Callithrix jacchus: one gene and its partners. The protein of the gene in region 3 binds, or shares a complex with, the protein of the main gene of each other region. Links are inferred from orthologs where the notes say so. Each region holds a gene or a part of one and is shown on either strand. Other genes may lie near its edges.

Region 1 (4,200 bases), on a different chromosome or scaffold from region 3:
CCCGCCCACTTCCTTCCCCCAGACGTCTACCGTAATAACCAAAATAGAAGCGATATCAAGTATCTTACGGTCTGCAGGACTAGAAAACAGCGTAGTTGTTTTTTTCTTCAATAGTTAAGCCATCCCAATTGTCCCCTGAAAACTATATAACTCTTGATCTTACTACAAAACATATTTTATTACAAAACACTAAATACAATGCTGATAATCCCATACATCCAACACATATCCTCTAGCAGAAGCAGTTTCCAAGGGGAAGACTGAAGCCTATGCCTTTCTTCTTCCAGGAATACGAAGCGGCCTCCCATGTAGCCTTCGACCATCAGGAAGGTGATCAGAAAGGTTTCTTTTTCAGCCCAAAGATGGCGATGAATAAAGCCATTTCAGTGACAGCTGGAAGGGCACTACCGAAGCAGGTGGTAGATTCAGAAATCCTTTCAATATAAATATGCAAATCTCCAAACTAGAGACCCCACCCCTGAAAGTATAGGGCAGGTGGCATGGGGATGGGGGATGAAAAAGACTACAGGATCTCATGCATGGAAGAAGGGACCGGGTGGGGGAAAACTTTCAGATTTAGGGTAAACCTTCCTCCCTCATCCCCAAATATTGGGTGTTACCACACCTGCAGAAGAAAAAAATGTACCAATACGTAGTGCACTCCCAACGCTCAAATATGAAGAAGGACAGGGCCACGGATGCACTACAGTGAGCCCCAATGGCTTGGGAAGGCACCACAGTTAAGGAAAGTCTTTGGATCGACAGATAGTGATGGATCAGAAAACATCAGTGGTGGGGTTGGCATCTGCACTCAGGTTCATCGCTTGCTCCCTCACCATATTGCAAGGGCTAGAGTCAGCAGCCCTGACTTCTGAATTGTAGGATGGTCATATGAGGAGAGACCAGAAGTAACTGCATAGATGGGACCTCAGGCTAGCCTACCCCACATCTAGAGGCCAGCTTGGACCCTTCAGATGAGAGGTAAGAGTAGGCTCTCCTACCATGCCACACAGGAGTGCTGACAGCGAATTGATATGCTCTGCTGGAATCAGCCTCCAGGGTTCTAGCACTCCTGGTTCACAGTTCTCTGACCCACGTGCTTCATTTCCTTTGCCATTTCTGAGTTCCCATTGTGCTTTCTACCTTTTGTTTGTTTGTTTGTTTGTTTGTTTGTTTGAGACAGAGTCTCACTTTGTCACCAGGCACCAGGCTGGAGTGCAGTGGCACAATCTCGGCTCACTGCAACCTCCGCCTCCCGGGTTCAAGCAATTCTCCTGCCTCAGCCTCCTGAGTAGCTGGGACTACAGGCACACGCCACCACGCCCAGCTAATTTTTGAATTTTTAGTAGAGACGGGGTTTCACCATGTTGGCCAGGATGGTCTCAATCTCTTGACCTCGTGATCCACCTGCCTCGGCCTCCCAAAGTGCTGGGATTACAGGCTTGAGCCACCGTGTCCCGCTTGTTTGTTTTTTGACGGAGTCTCACTCTGTTGCCCAGGCTAGAGTGCAGTGGCTCAACCTCGGCTCACTGCAACTTCTGCCTCCCAGGTTCAAGCAATTTTCCTGCCTCAGCCTCCTGAGTAGCTGGGGTTACAGGTGTGCCGTCACCACGCCCGGCTAATTTTTGTATTTTTAGTAGAGAATGGTGTTTCACCATGTTGGTCAGGCTGGTCTCAAACTCATGACTTCAAATGATCCACCTGTCCTGGCCTCCCAAAGTTGCTTGAAATAAAGGCGTGAGCCACCGCGCCCACCCCTCTTTACACACTCCTATAGCACCCTGCTTATCACTGAATTACAGATATGTGTCTGCCTCCTCCTCATGATAAACAAAAAAGGTGAAGTTCTCATTATTACTATTATTTTTGTAGACATAGGGTCTCACTATGATGCCTCAAGCAATCCTCCTGCCTGGGCCTCCCACACTGCTGGGAATACAGACATGAGTCAACGTGCCTGGCCGAAAACTGTTTTACTCTCATTTTGGGATTTTAAGTGCCTAGTAAACAGCAGGATTTAGCACATGTTTGAAGATATCCGAACTGGAGAGATTGGTTACAGCAGACACTATGGTGTCAGGTGGCTGAAGGGAGTCCTGATGGAAATGGTCGTGTGGGAAAGGTGAGCAGGAGGAAAGGATACAGATGAGGCTCTGGGTGCTGTTGAACATGGAGACTCCTAGAAGGAAACCGGCCAGCTCCACTGCAAAGAGGCCCAGAGTGACAGAGAGCGCGGCCACCAGCCTGCAGAAAGGAAGTGGACAGCCTCAGGCCCTTGGACTTCTAAGAACCCTCCACTCCCACCACCTCTCCGTTCTGACCAGCCCATTCCGAGAGAGCTCACTGAATGTCCTGCTTTTCATACTCCTCGGGGGTGAACCTGAGAGGCAGGCAGGCCTGGATGTTGCTGTCCTGGGAGCAGAGCAGAGAGGAAGAGAAGTGAAAAAGGGACGGGCGGCGAGGCAGGCCTGGGGGCGGCGGGGAACGAGAAGACCTAAGTGGGTAAGACACTGGGAGAGGGGCAAGATGGGGCTGGGACCACTCCGAGGTGGGAATAGGGGCGGACGGATGTCAGCCGTGGGTCTTACCCGGGACCAGAATAAGGTGATGACGACCACCAGATGCGCCAGGAGCGTCAGGAAGCGAGAAGGTACGAGCCCTGAGACCCGGCCCATGGCCCTTGGAAACAGGGGCGGCGGTCTCAGAGGCCGGAATTTCAAAGAGAGCGACTCCTGAAGTCTCCCTGCAAGCGGACAAAATCTAGACGAACGCCTCCTTCCCGCCCGCTCAGGCACCGCCCAGTTACCTTGGTAACTCCGTACGCGAACGCGGCGCCGCGTTCTCGAAAAACATCGCGAGAGCAGTATATTCTCAAGCTGCTGCTGGCCTCTTCCGGCTTGCGCAGGTCAGGGCTTCCCCGAATGCCATTCTAACCCAACGTTTGGGTATCCGCGCGTAGCCAAGCCCTTTGTTCCTGAGAGGGTGCGAGGTGGCACGGCCCCGCAGCGCCCGATCTACCCGCCCAGGACCGACGAACGGAAACCGACCTGGGCTAGCCTGGGGGCACCTCGGCTTCCGCAGTTGCCGGGAGCGGCCCCCAGCCCCTTCTACACCGACAATTGTGGATCTCCTGAGGCCGCGCCACCGCCATGCCGGGCTGAGGTCCGGGTCCCCGCCATGCCGAAGACTCAGACACGCTCCCCTTCCCCTCCTCCGTATGCCTTTAGCTTCCCACCAAGCTGGCCTCAGAAACAAGGGTCCCGAACTTGGAGAGGCGGTGTCCCTAGACTGCTCAGCAGTCACAGATTGTCACGGAGCCCCTGGATGTCTGAGGACCCCAGGCCTGAACTTTCCTTGAGGAAGACTGATTTCTCTCAGTCTAACTTTGCTCAGTTTGGTGAGGGATTTGCAGAGTGCAAAAAATGGCAGAGCAAGGGGACCGGAAAGGGTGGGAGTGGATGGAGGGAATGGACAGTCCCTGCATCCCTGGGAGGCTTGGAGCTGACTGGAACGGAAACTCAAATCAGATTTCTTTATCTCTTGGAGGTGCTGGGCCTCCGACATTACCCAGCTACAGTCCAAGAAGCTCTTATCATCGGCAACCTCATGACCTTTGGGTTTCAGCGCAGGTCCCCGCTGATCGGAAAGCTCTTTCTTCTCGCAATGCTGTCAAGTCCCATTCTCAAGGGTCCTCCCGGCTCATTTCCCCGGAGAACAACCGCTTCCTCTTCCTCACTCCCCGTCTCAGTGCCTTTAGCCAGTCTAAATATATGCCCAAGAGGCATTTCTCATTTCTTCAAATATTGTTTGTATTTACTGATTACCTAGTAGGTGGATTCTAGTCAGGGAGATCAATAATAGACATGCAAACAAATCCGCAAGATACTATATGCTATGAAAAGGGAAACGCTACAATTATAATTCTATAAAAAGAATGGGGCATTTGTTCTTAAACTTTATTTTAGAAAATTTGGCGCAGTAGCTCATGGCCGTAATCCCAGCACTTTAGGAGGCCAAGGCGGGCAGATCACCTGAGGTCAGGAGTTCTAGACCAGCCTGATCAACATGGTGAAAACCGGTCTCTACTAAAAATATAAAAATTAGCTGGGCATGATGGCGAGCACCTGTAATTCCAGCTACTCGGGAGGCTGAGGCAGGAGAATTTCTTGAATCCTGGAGGTGGAGGTTGCAGTGAGGCGA
Region 2 (4,159 bases), on a different chromosome or scaffold from region 3:
AGATCGCGGCCTCCCTCTCTCATGGCTCATCCCTGTCACTTCCTGGCTTGGTCTCCCCACCGCCCTTCTGGCTCACTGACATTCTAGAATATGCACTCCTTATTATCTGACACCCCCCAACAGAAACATGTGTCCTCCCCACTGGCTAAGGAGAGGCCAGATGGTGAGCAGACTGGCCAGAGTGTCCACAGCTCAGCCACAGCCAGGCTGGCTCACCAGGGCCAGCCCCCTGCTGCAGGCGCTGCTCTTTGCTGCCCTGGGCAAGCTCACAGGGTAGGGCGTGTGAGTGGTCTTGGGGGCTGGATCAGGGGGTCCAACCGTGGCTGTGTCCTCTGCTCCAGCTTACCAGGAAAACTCATGTGTGGGTCCCCTGAATTCAGTGTCTACCTCTTGACTGGTTCTGAATGGGGAGGGGAAGGGTATGACACCTTCAGAAACCCCAAAAGTCATGAAGGTGGTAAGTAAGGGAGGCCCAAGAGTCCAGCTTACCGCTGTGGGGGCCCAGTCCTGGCCGTATACAAAGCAGTACTTGCAGTAGAGGTCATCATACTCTGGAAACTGAAAAAAGCACAGTCTGTCAACCGGTATTCATGCTGAGGCCAATGCGTTTGCTAGACAAGGGCAGCCAAGAGGAATTTTGAACGCGAGGCACCTGGGATTGAGTCTAAGAGCCAGCTGGGGATGTGGACCTGGCGTTCAGAGGAGAGGCTCAGGGCCAAGATGCGGGAGTCCACGGAGAGTCCCAGGCTTTTGCTCAGGCTCTGCCTTCTGTCTGATCTGTCCTTTCTATTTCTTCATCTGGAAAACTTCTGCTCATACTTCAAAACTTACCCTTCAGGGAGGCTGCCCTCACTCTCAGGTTGGTTTAAGGTCTCCTCTTGGCTCCTGTAGCCCTGTGCTTCCCTCCATAAAAGCAATGATTGCCTGTGCCTAAGTCTGTCAATTCCTCTAGACTATAAGCAGAGAACAGATTTCATGCCTTTCTGTGTCCCCATTGCCCAGCACAGGGCTGGGCACGGATGAGGTCTAAGGCAGGGGTCCCCAACCGGTACCAGTCCGTGGCCCGTTAGGAATGGGTCCACACAACAGGAGATGAGCAGCAGGCAAGTGGGCAAAGCTTCATCTTTATTTACAGCAGTTCCCCATTGGAGCTCTGCCTCCTGTCTGAGCAGTGGCGGCATTAGATTCTCATAGGAGCACGAACCCTATTGTGAACTGCATATGAAGGATTCAGTTTGCGCGCTCCTTATGAGAACCTAATGCCTGATGATCTGTCACTGTCACCGCATCACCCCCAGATGGGACCATCTAGTTGCAGGAAAACAAGCTCAGGGCTCCCACTGATTCTACATTACGGTGAGTTGTATAATTATTTCATTATACTTTACAATGTAATAATAATAGAAATAAAGTGTACAATAAAGGTAATGTCCCCAAATCATCCCCAAAACATCCCTTGCCACCTCCTGTCCGTGGGAAAACTGTCTTCCACGAAACCAGACCCTGGTGCCAAAAAGGCTGAGGACTGCTAGTGTAAGGGAATGGTGCTGAAGTGAAAGGTCTGAGAACCTAGGAAGCCATCAGGCACAGGGCATATGCAAGGCTGGAGCTGAGGCCCTGAAAAGAGGGAGGTGCTGAGAGCAGAGCAGGGAGGAAGTGTGAGTGTGAGTGTGTGTGTGTGGGGGGGGTTGATGCTGAGAGCACAGACACATGTGACTCAGCCCAGCCAAGAGCCCCTAATGGGATAGAACAAGAGAGGGGAGAAAGGTGGTCTTAGGCACTAGGCTAAGGCAGAGGCGGACAGGATGGGAGGGTGGAGCAGTATTCCTGATGAAACAGGAAGGCAGGAGACACCAACAAAGCATCAGGCCCTATCAGAGCCTTACCCAAACCGTCTCAGTCACACCTCACAATAATATAATAAACACCATCTCCAACGACCTGGAAGGACAGTGTAGCGAAGCTTTGAGGTCACACAGGCGTGGGTTCAATTCCCAGACAGGCCAGTTGCTTTGGCTGTTTCCCCGGCTGTGAAATGGGGGTGTTAGTAGTGCCTATCTGGCAAGGTTGTAAGGATGGAATAAGCAGTGCTGAGCACTGACTTTGGCACATATTGAGGACTTGGTGAGCGTTGGTTTTTGTTTACAATAAACGGTTCCTCTAAAGTGTAGGGGGATGGAGAGTAGCTTCCTGTCCCTCCGGCCTGACAGGCACACCTTCCCTGGGGCATTCCAGGCCACTACCATCGTTGGATGGTTGGATTCCAACCCGAGTTCAAAGATCTGGGGATTTAGAGCGCGGGGCAGTAGCTGGGCACCCGACACGGAGCAAATACCGGAAACTCGGCCGAGCCTCGGCTCCTCGCGTTACACCCTGGGAGGCTCCTGCCAGTGACTCAACCTAGAGGGCATGATCCGTGCGAGGGGCCACAGGCTTGGCCGAGTGTGACCTCAGTACTAGCTCAACATCTCGAGGTCTGCTTCTACACCTGCACATCGGAACTTAGGATCCCGAAAACCTCGCGCCAAGTCCTCCAATGCTGGCTTCCCGCCCCCGCCTAACGGAGAGGCTCAGAGGAATGACGTGGCTCTCTGGGGGCCACAGGGCAGCCCGCGGGGTTGCGGGAAGGGCCCCGGGGGACGCTGGGGGGCGGGCCCCGACGGGGTCCACGGCCGCTCACCTGGGCGCTCTCCACCTGCCCGTTGACCATCAGTAGAAAGACGCTAGGACTCGCGGTCGTCATGGCAAGGTTGGGGGTTCCGAAGGAACCCACCTAGGCCGCGCGCGGTTGCTAAGAAACGCCGGCGTTGCCCTAGAAACAGACGGCGTGGCGCGCGGGACACGTTTCTTGGTAGCGACACCTTCGCGAAAGCCGCGAGCGAGCGAGAGCGAGAGAGAGAGGAGGAGGGAGGGGGGGAAGGGGGAGGGGGGGAGGGGAAGGAGGGAAGGGGAGGAGGCGGAAGAGAGAGAGAGAGAGAGAGAGAGTGAGAGTGTGTGTGTGTGTGTGTGTGTGTGTGTGTGTGTGTGTGTGTAGCACGCGCAGGCGCAGTTAGCAAGCGCCGTCGTAAGGGGGCGGGGCTTGTGCGGGGCGGGGAACGAGGGGCGGGGCTCCACACCGAGGTCCTACCTATCCTTGGGGCAGCTAGGACCAAGAAAACTGGGGCGGTAGCGCTGAGCTGTCGGGAAAAGCCAGTCCTATCGCGCGACACAATTGCACCGCAGGGAGTGCGTGTTCACTCTGACTCTGCCCGGCTCCCCACGAAGCGCGGAGGCGGAAGAGGGCTGAGTTCTGGCGAGCAGCGCCCCTGATTCACGCCAGCGGCAAGCCGTGTTAAAAATACCTTTAGCCACTAGATGTCGCTGTGGCCTCACTGCGAGGATGCGGAGGGAGGCGCTGCGGAGCGCGGGCGGCGTGACTATAGCTGCCCGGGTTAACGCTGGAAGAGGCTCCCCACCTGGGGTCAAGCAAGGTCCAAACAGGTGAAGGGGATGCGCCTTTGTGGCTTGGAGACCCTCGCCCTCGAAAAAGTTTATTAAACAAACTTGGGAGGGACCTCAAGAATTCTTACATCCAAGTCATTGCTCTTCAGTGCGAAGCTGGGGAAACGGAGGCCTGCAGTGGGCGGCGCCTGGCACCCCAGTCAGCGGGCGCTCAGGGGAGTTGCTAGCCAGACTCGACGAGTCTGTCAAGACCGTGTTCAAATGTCAATTACCCTCTGGACGCCCCGAATAGGTCACAGCCTCCATGAACACGTGGATCCGGTTCTCTTAGAGCTCCTGTTGTTTGTGTTTGCACATTTATTCCGGTCATAATTCAGCCCAGTGCTTGCCTCCCTCACTAGACTGCCAGCTCCATGAGTCAGTCTTGTATCTTTGTGGCCTGTCACATAGTAAGCACTTGGTAACTACTAACTTCTTGAATAAATGAGTAATTGAAGACATCTCCATTTTACGGAGGAGGAAACAGATTCCGATGGGAAAGGCAGGTAAGTAGCTAAGTCAGGATTCGAACCCAGGCAGGACTCCAGAGGCTAACAACCTTCACTCCCTCTGTCTTATTTTGGGCCAGTCCCAAGAGCGTCTGTTGGCAGAGGTGTCAAATGAGACGTTGGAGACGTTATCTTGGATCCAGGAAATGAAGAAATTCACAGATGTGTAG
Region 3 (4,021 bases):
CCCCAGACGGAGTATCACTGTCACCCAGGCTGGAGTGCAGCGGCATGATCTCAGCTCACTGCAACCCAACCTCTGTCTCCCAGGTTCCAGCGATTCTCCTGCCTCAGCCTCCCAAGTAGCTGGAACTACTGGTGCACACCACCATGCCCGGCTAATTTTTGTATTTTTAATAAAGATGGAGTTTCGCCATGCTGGCCAGGATGGTTTCCAACTCCCGACCTCAAGTGATCCACCAACCTCAGTCTCCCAAAGTGCTGGGATTACAGGTGTGAGCTACCGCACCCAGCCAGCAACATGCTTTTACCGCTCAAAATCCGAATCAGGAGGCTTTGAAGCCCAGCTCACAGGCCGTCTTTTGGAAACTAACTTCGATTTCCATGTGGGAGCACTTTGTCCTCTCAGCTCTCACTGAACCACTTTATGTATCACGTGGTGACTCGTTTCAATTTGTGCTCCAGGAAAGGACGCTCTATTTCCCTGGTGTCTCTACCTGCTACTAAATAGGCCGCAGAAAAAAACCAATGCTGGCGGGGCACAGTGGCTCATGCCTGTAATCCCAGGACTTTGGGAGGCCGAGGTGGGTAGATCACCTGAGGTCAGGAGTTCGCGACCAGGCTAGGCAACATAGTGAAACCCCATCTCCACTAAAAATACAAAAATTAGCTGGGCATGGTGGCAGGTGCCTGTAATCCCAGCTACTCAGGAGGCTGAGGTGGGAGAATCGCCTGAACCCGGGAGGAGGTCGCAATGAGTCGAGATTGCGCCGCTGGTCCAGACTGGGTAACGAACGAAACTCCGTCTCAAAAGAAAAGAAAAAAAGAAACCAATGCTAACCCCCACCCCGCATTTGCAGAGATCCGTCGCGCACACCGTTTATCGTTTCCGATGAAAAAGGGGAATGGTGGGACTAGGACTTATTTGCCAATCCTGATCATATTGTCACAGCTGGCCACTTCCGCCCAACGCCCGGTAGCCCGAGAGCCTCTGGGGTCCTCCCCCACACCCCCGAGGTCCTGCAGACGACGGCGTCGTGGGCGGCCACTGTTTTAGGTCTGGAACTGGAACATCAAGCGAGAGTCACTTGCCGCCAGGCCCGGGTTCTTCCCGCTCGGGTTGGGCACAGAGCGCCGCGTGCGGTCGGAGAGCCCGGAAGCGCAGGCCGCTCCGTCCCCGTTTCCGGCAGCGCCTCGCTGCTCCTGGAGCCGCGGTGGTAGCGTACGCAGTTTCCATGGGGACTGAAGATGGCGCCGCGAGGTGAGATTCTGGAGGTGTGTGAGTCGCTGGTCCCTTTCCCTTCGGCCCCTCCCTCCCACCTCTGTCCCAGAGCTTGACCTAAACCCTCCTTTCTCAAGCGTTAGGGACTTGGCGCCTCCCTGGTCCAAAGCGGGCTTCCGCGGCCCCGCCCAGCCTGGGTGCCTGAAGGTCTCCGGGTGCGGGGCTCAGATAGCTACACATCCTCGGCTGGGCCTCTTCTAGGCTGGCTCAGGTACGAATATGTGGATCTCCGCGCCCCAACTTCCCCTCCCAAATAGTGACAGGGAGAGATCTTTGATCTCAGTTACCTCTTAACTTGTATCCCTGAAGCCGAAGGATCGAGTTTCACGGTGATTCCTGGGAAAGGAGGGAAGCCCCCTCCACACTCACCTCCGTACCCTCACCCCACTCATTATCAGCAACCAGAAGTGCCCCTAAGTGGCCGGTCCCATTAGTCCACTGCCCCTAGTTTTCCCCAAAGTAGATACCAACCCCTTCGAGGAGCCGAGAGGGAGCCGCCCTCCTGCCCATCCCACTTCTCTGTGCTCCTTTTTCAGGGAAACGGTTGTCCTCCACCCCCCTGGAAATCCTATTCTTTCTGAACGGGTGGTATAATACTACCTATTTCCTGCTGGAACTTTTCATGTTTCTGTATAAAGGTAAGGAAGGCTTGAGGCTTAGACACAGCATCTTTCCCCCACTTCAGGTCAGAGCCGTCTCCTACCAAGAACCTTTTTTGCCCTATGCAGTTCTTTGTCGCTGCAAGGCAGGCCTCCTCATCAGATGGCTTATTTGAGTACGATCCCACAGGTAGCCCCTCAGCAAGAATTTCTTGAATTTGGGAAACAGGGCCTTTCAGTTCTGACTCCGCCCACATTGCTGCTCTTTGCTGAGCTCAGCTGTAAGCCCATTGGTGACCCTCAGAAACTTCAGTGGCCTGTGTACCCTGTATATCCAATCATTTTGGAGAGTGGAGTCCCCAGAGACTTTTGGAGTTAGGGGTAAAATGCGGTAATAATGAGCCGGGGTTGGTTGCACTGTGAGTTTATGTATCCTGCAGCTGTAACACCCACCTCCTAACTAGTTCATGGACAGCTGAGACAGATGTCCTCTTTTTCCCAAGTGTGTGGCAGTCCTTGTGGGTGCCGTTATCTGTTGTTTGCAAACTCTGGCTTTTGTATTGGCAGGTCTCCTGCTACCATATCCAAAAGCTAACCTAGCACTGGATGTGGTGATGCTCCTCCTTTACCTTGGAATTGAAGTAATTCGCCTGTTTTTTGGTGAGTGTCGTCCAGAGAATATTTCCACTCCTTATGAGACAAACTGTAACTTGATTAACAAGAAAAGTACATAACCTAGGTTAACTATCAAAGATTGGATCTGGAGGTATATCCCTTTACTCCCTCTCTGAAGTTTCAAGTTGCTGCTTCTTAATTGGGTCAACATTTACCTGTTCGTTGCTCTCTAAGGCTAGAGATCAGCAATAGCATGGGATATTAGATGATTGATTCCTTTTCAGCTGCCTAACTGCAAGAAGAGTGCCTGGTTCCTCTCACTAGCTTTCTTGGGGAATAGGTTCAGTTATAACTCCATGTCAGGGAGGCAGTATATCCTGCACAGATCAGTCCCAAGATCCCTGACAATTCTCTGAATAAGGATCTCTCGTAGGATTTTATTTTATTTAATTGGAGTTTTGTTCTGTTGCCAAGCTGGAGTGACGTGGCATGATCTCGGCTAACTGTAACCTCTGCCTCCCCGGTTCAAGTGATTCTCCTGCCTCAGCCTCCTGAGTAGCTGGGACTAGGTAGTAGGTGTGTGCCACCACACCAGCTAATCTTTGTATTTTTAGTAGAGATGGGGTTTCACCATGTTGGTCAGGCTGGTCACGAACTCCTGACCCCATGATCCCCCTGGCTTGGCCTTGCAAAGTGCTGGGATTACAGGCATGAGCCACCTTGCGAGGACTGATTTGTGTGTTACAGGCCAGATTTGTTTGTTTTTGAGACGGAGTTTCACTTTTGTTTTCCAGGCTGGAGTGTAATGGCATGATCTTGGCTTCCTGCAACCTCTGCCTCCCAGGTTCAAGCGACTCTCCTGCCTCAGCCTCCCGAGTAGCTGGGATTACAGGCATGCACCACCATGCCTGGCTAATTGTATATTTTTAGTAGAGATGGGGTTTCTCCATGTTGGCTAGGCTGGCCTTGAACTCACGACCTCAGGTGATCCGCCCACCTCGGCCTCCCAAAGTGCTGGGATTACAGGCGTGAGCCACCATGCCCAGCCAGGACTTTTTTTTTTTTGAGACGGAGTTTCGCTCTTGTTGCCCAGGCTGGAGTGCAATGGCGCATTCTTGGCTCACTGCAACCTCCGCCTCCTGGGTTCAACAATTCTCCTGTCTCAGCCTCCCAAGTAGCTGGGACTACAGGCATGTGCCACCATGCCTGGCTAATTTTTTGTATTTAATAGAGACAGGGTTTCACCATGTTTGCCAGGACGGTCTCCATCTCTTGACCTTGTGCTCCACCCGCCTCGGCCTCCCAAAGTGCTGGGATTACAGGCGTGAGCCACCGCGCCCGGCCAGGATTTTTTTTTTTAGCATTTATTTATTTGAGACAGAGTCTCACTCTGTCACCTAGGCTGGAGTACAGTGGTGCGATTATAGCTCACAGCAGCCTTGAAGCCCTGGGTTCAAGCAGTCCTCCCACTTCAGCCCTGAGTAGCTGGGACCACAGGCGTGTGACACCATGCCTGGCTAATTTTGAATTTT

Evidence for each region. The genes of interacting proteins can lie anywhere in the genome.
Region 1: TMEM216 (region 3) and TMEM107 share a complex: the UniProt entries of both Homo sapiens proteins name them as parts of the tectonic-like complex. The link is inferred for Callithrix jacchus from reciprocal best matches to the Homo sapiens genes TMEM216 and TMEM107.
Region 2: TMEM216 (region 3) and B9D1 share a complex: the UniProt entries of both Homo sapiens proteins name them as parts of the tectonic-like complex. The link is inferred for Callithrix jacchus from reciprocal best matches to the Homo sapiens genes TMEM216 and B9D1.

What each region holds. Positions count from the first base shown.
Region 1 is NC_133506.1:74,652,738-74,656,937, forward strand, and holds TMEM107 (transmembrane protein 107), read right to left. Parts: upstream 2,801-4,200; 5' UTR 2,676-2,800; coding exon 2,589-2,675; intron 2,413-2,588; coding exon 2,345-2,412; intron 2,245-2,344; coding exon 2,144-2,244; intron 723-2,143; coding exon 626-722; intron 405-625; coding exon 335-404; 3' UTR 160-334; downstream 1-159. UniProt on the Homo sapiens protein: Plays a role in cilia formation and embryonic patterning. Requires for normal Sonic hedgehog (Shh) signaling in the neural tube and acts in combination with GLI2 and GLI3 to pattern ventral and intermediate neuronal cell types.
Region 2 is NC_133506.1:83,259,313-83,263,471, forward strand, and holds the start of B9D1 (B9 domain-containing protein 1), read right to left. Parts: upstream 2,801-4,159; 5' UTR 2,744-2,800; coding exon 2,681-2,743; intron 559-2,680; coding exon 490-558; intron 1-489. UniProt on the Homo sapiens protein: Component of the tectonic-like complex, a complex localized at the transition zone of primary cilia and acting as a barrier that prevents diffusion of transmembrane proteins between the cilia and plasma membranes.
Region 3 is NC_133511.1:118,390,728-118,394,748, forward strand, and holds the start of TMEM216 (transmembrane protein 216), read left to right. Parts: upstream 1-1,221; 5' UTR 1,222-1,241; coding exon 1,242-1,254; exon of another isoform or gene 1,255-1,486; intron 1,487-1,811; coding exon 1,812-1,913; intron 1,914-2,441; coding exon 2,442-2,534; intron 2,535-4,021. UniProt on the Homo sapiens protein: Part of the tectonic-like complex which is required for tissue-specific ciliogenesis and may regulate ciliary membrane composition.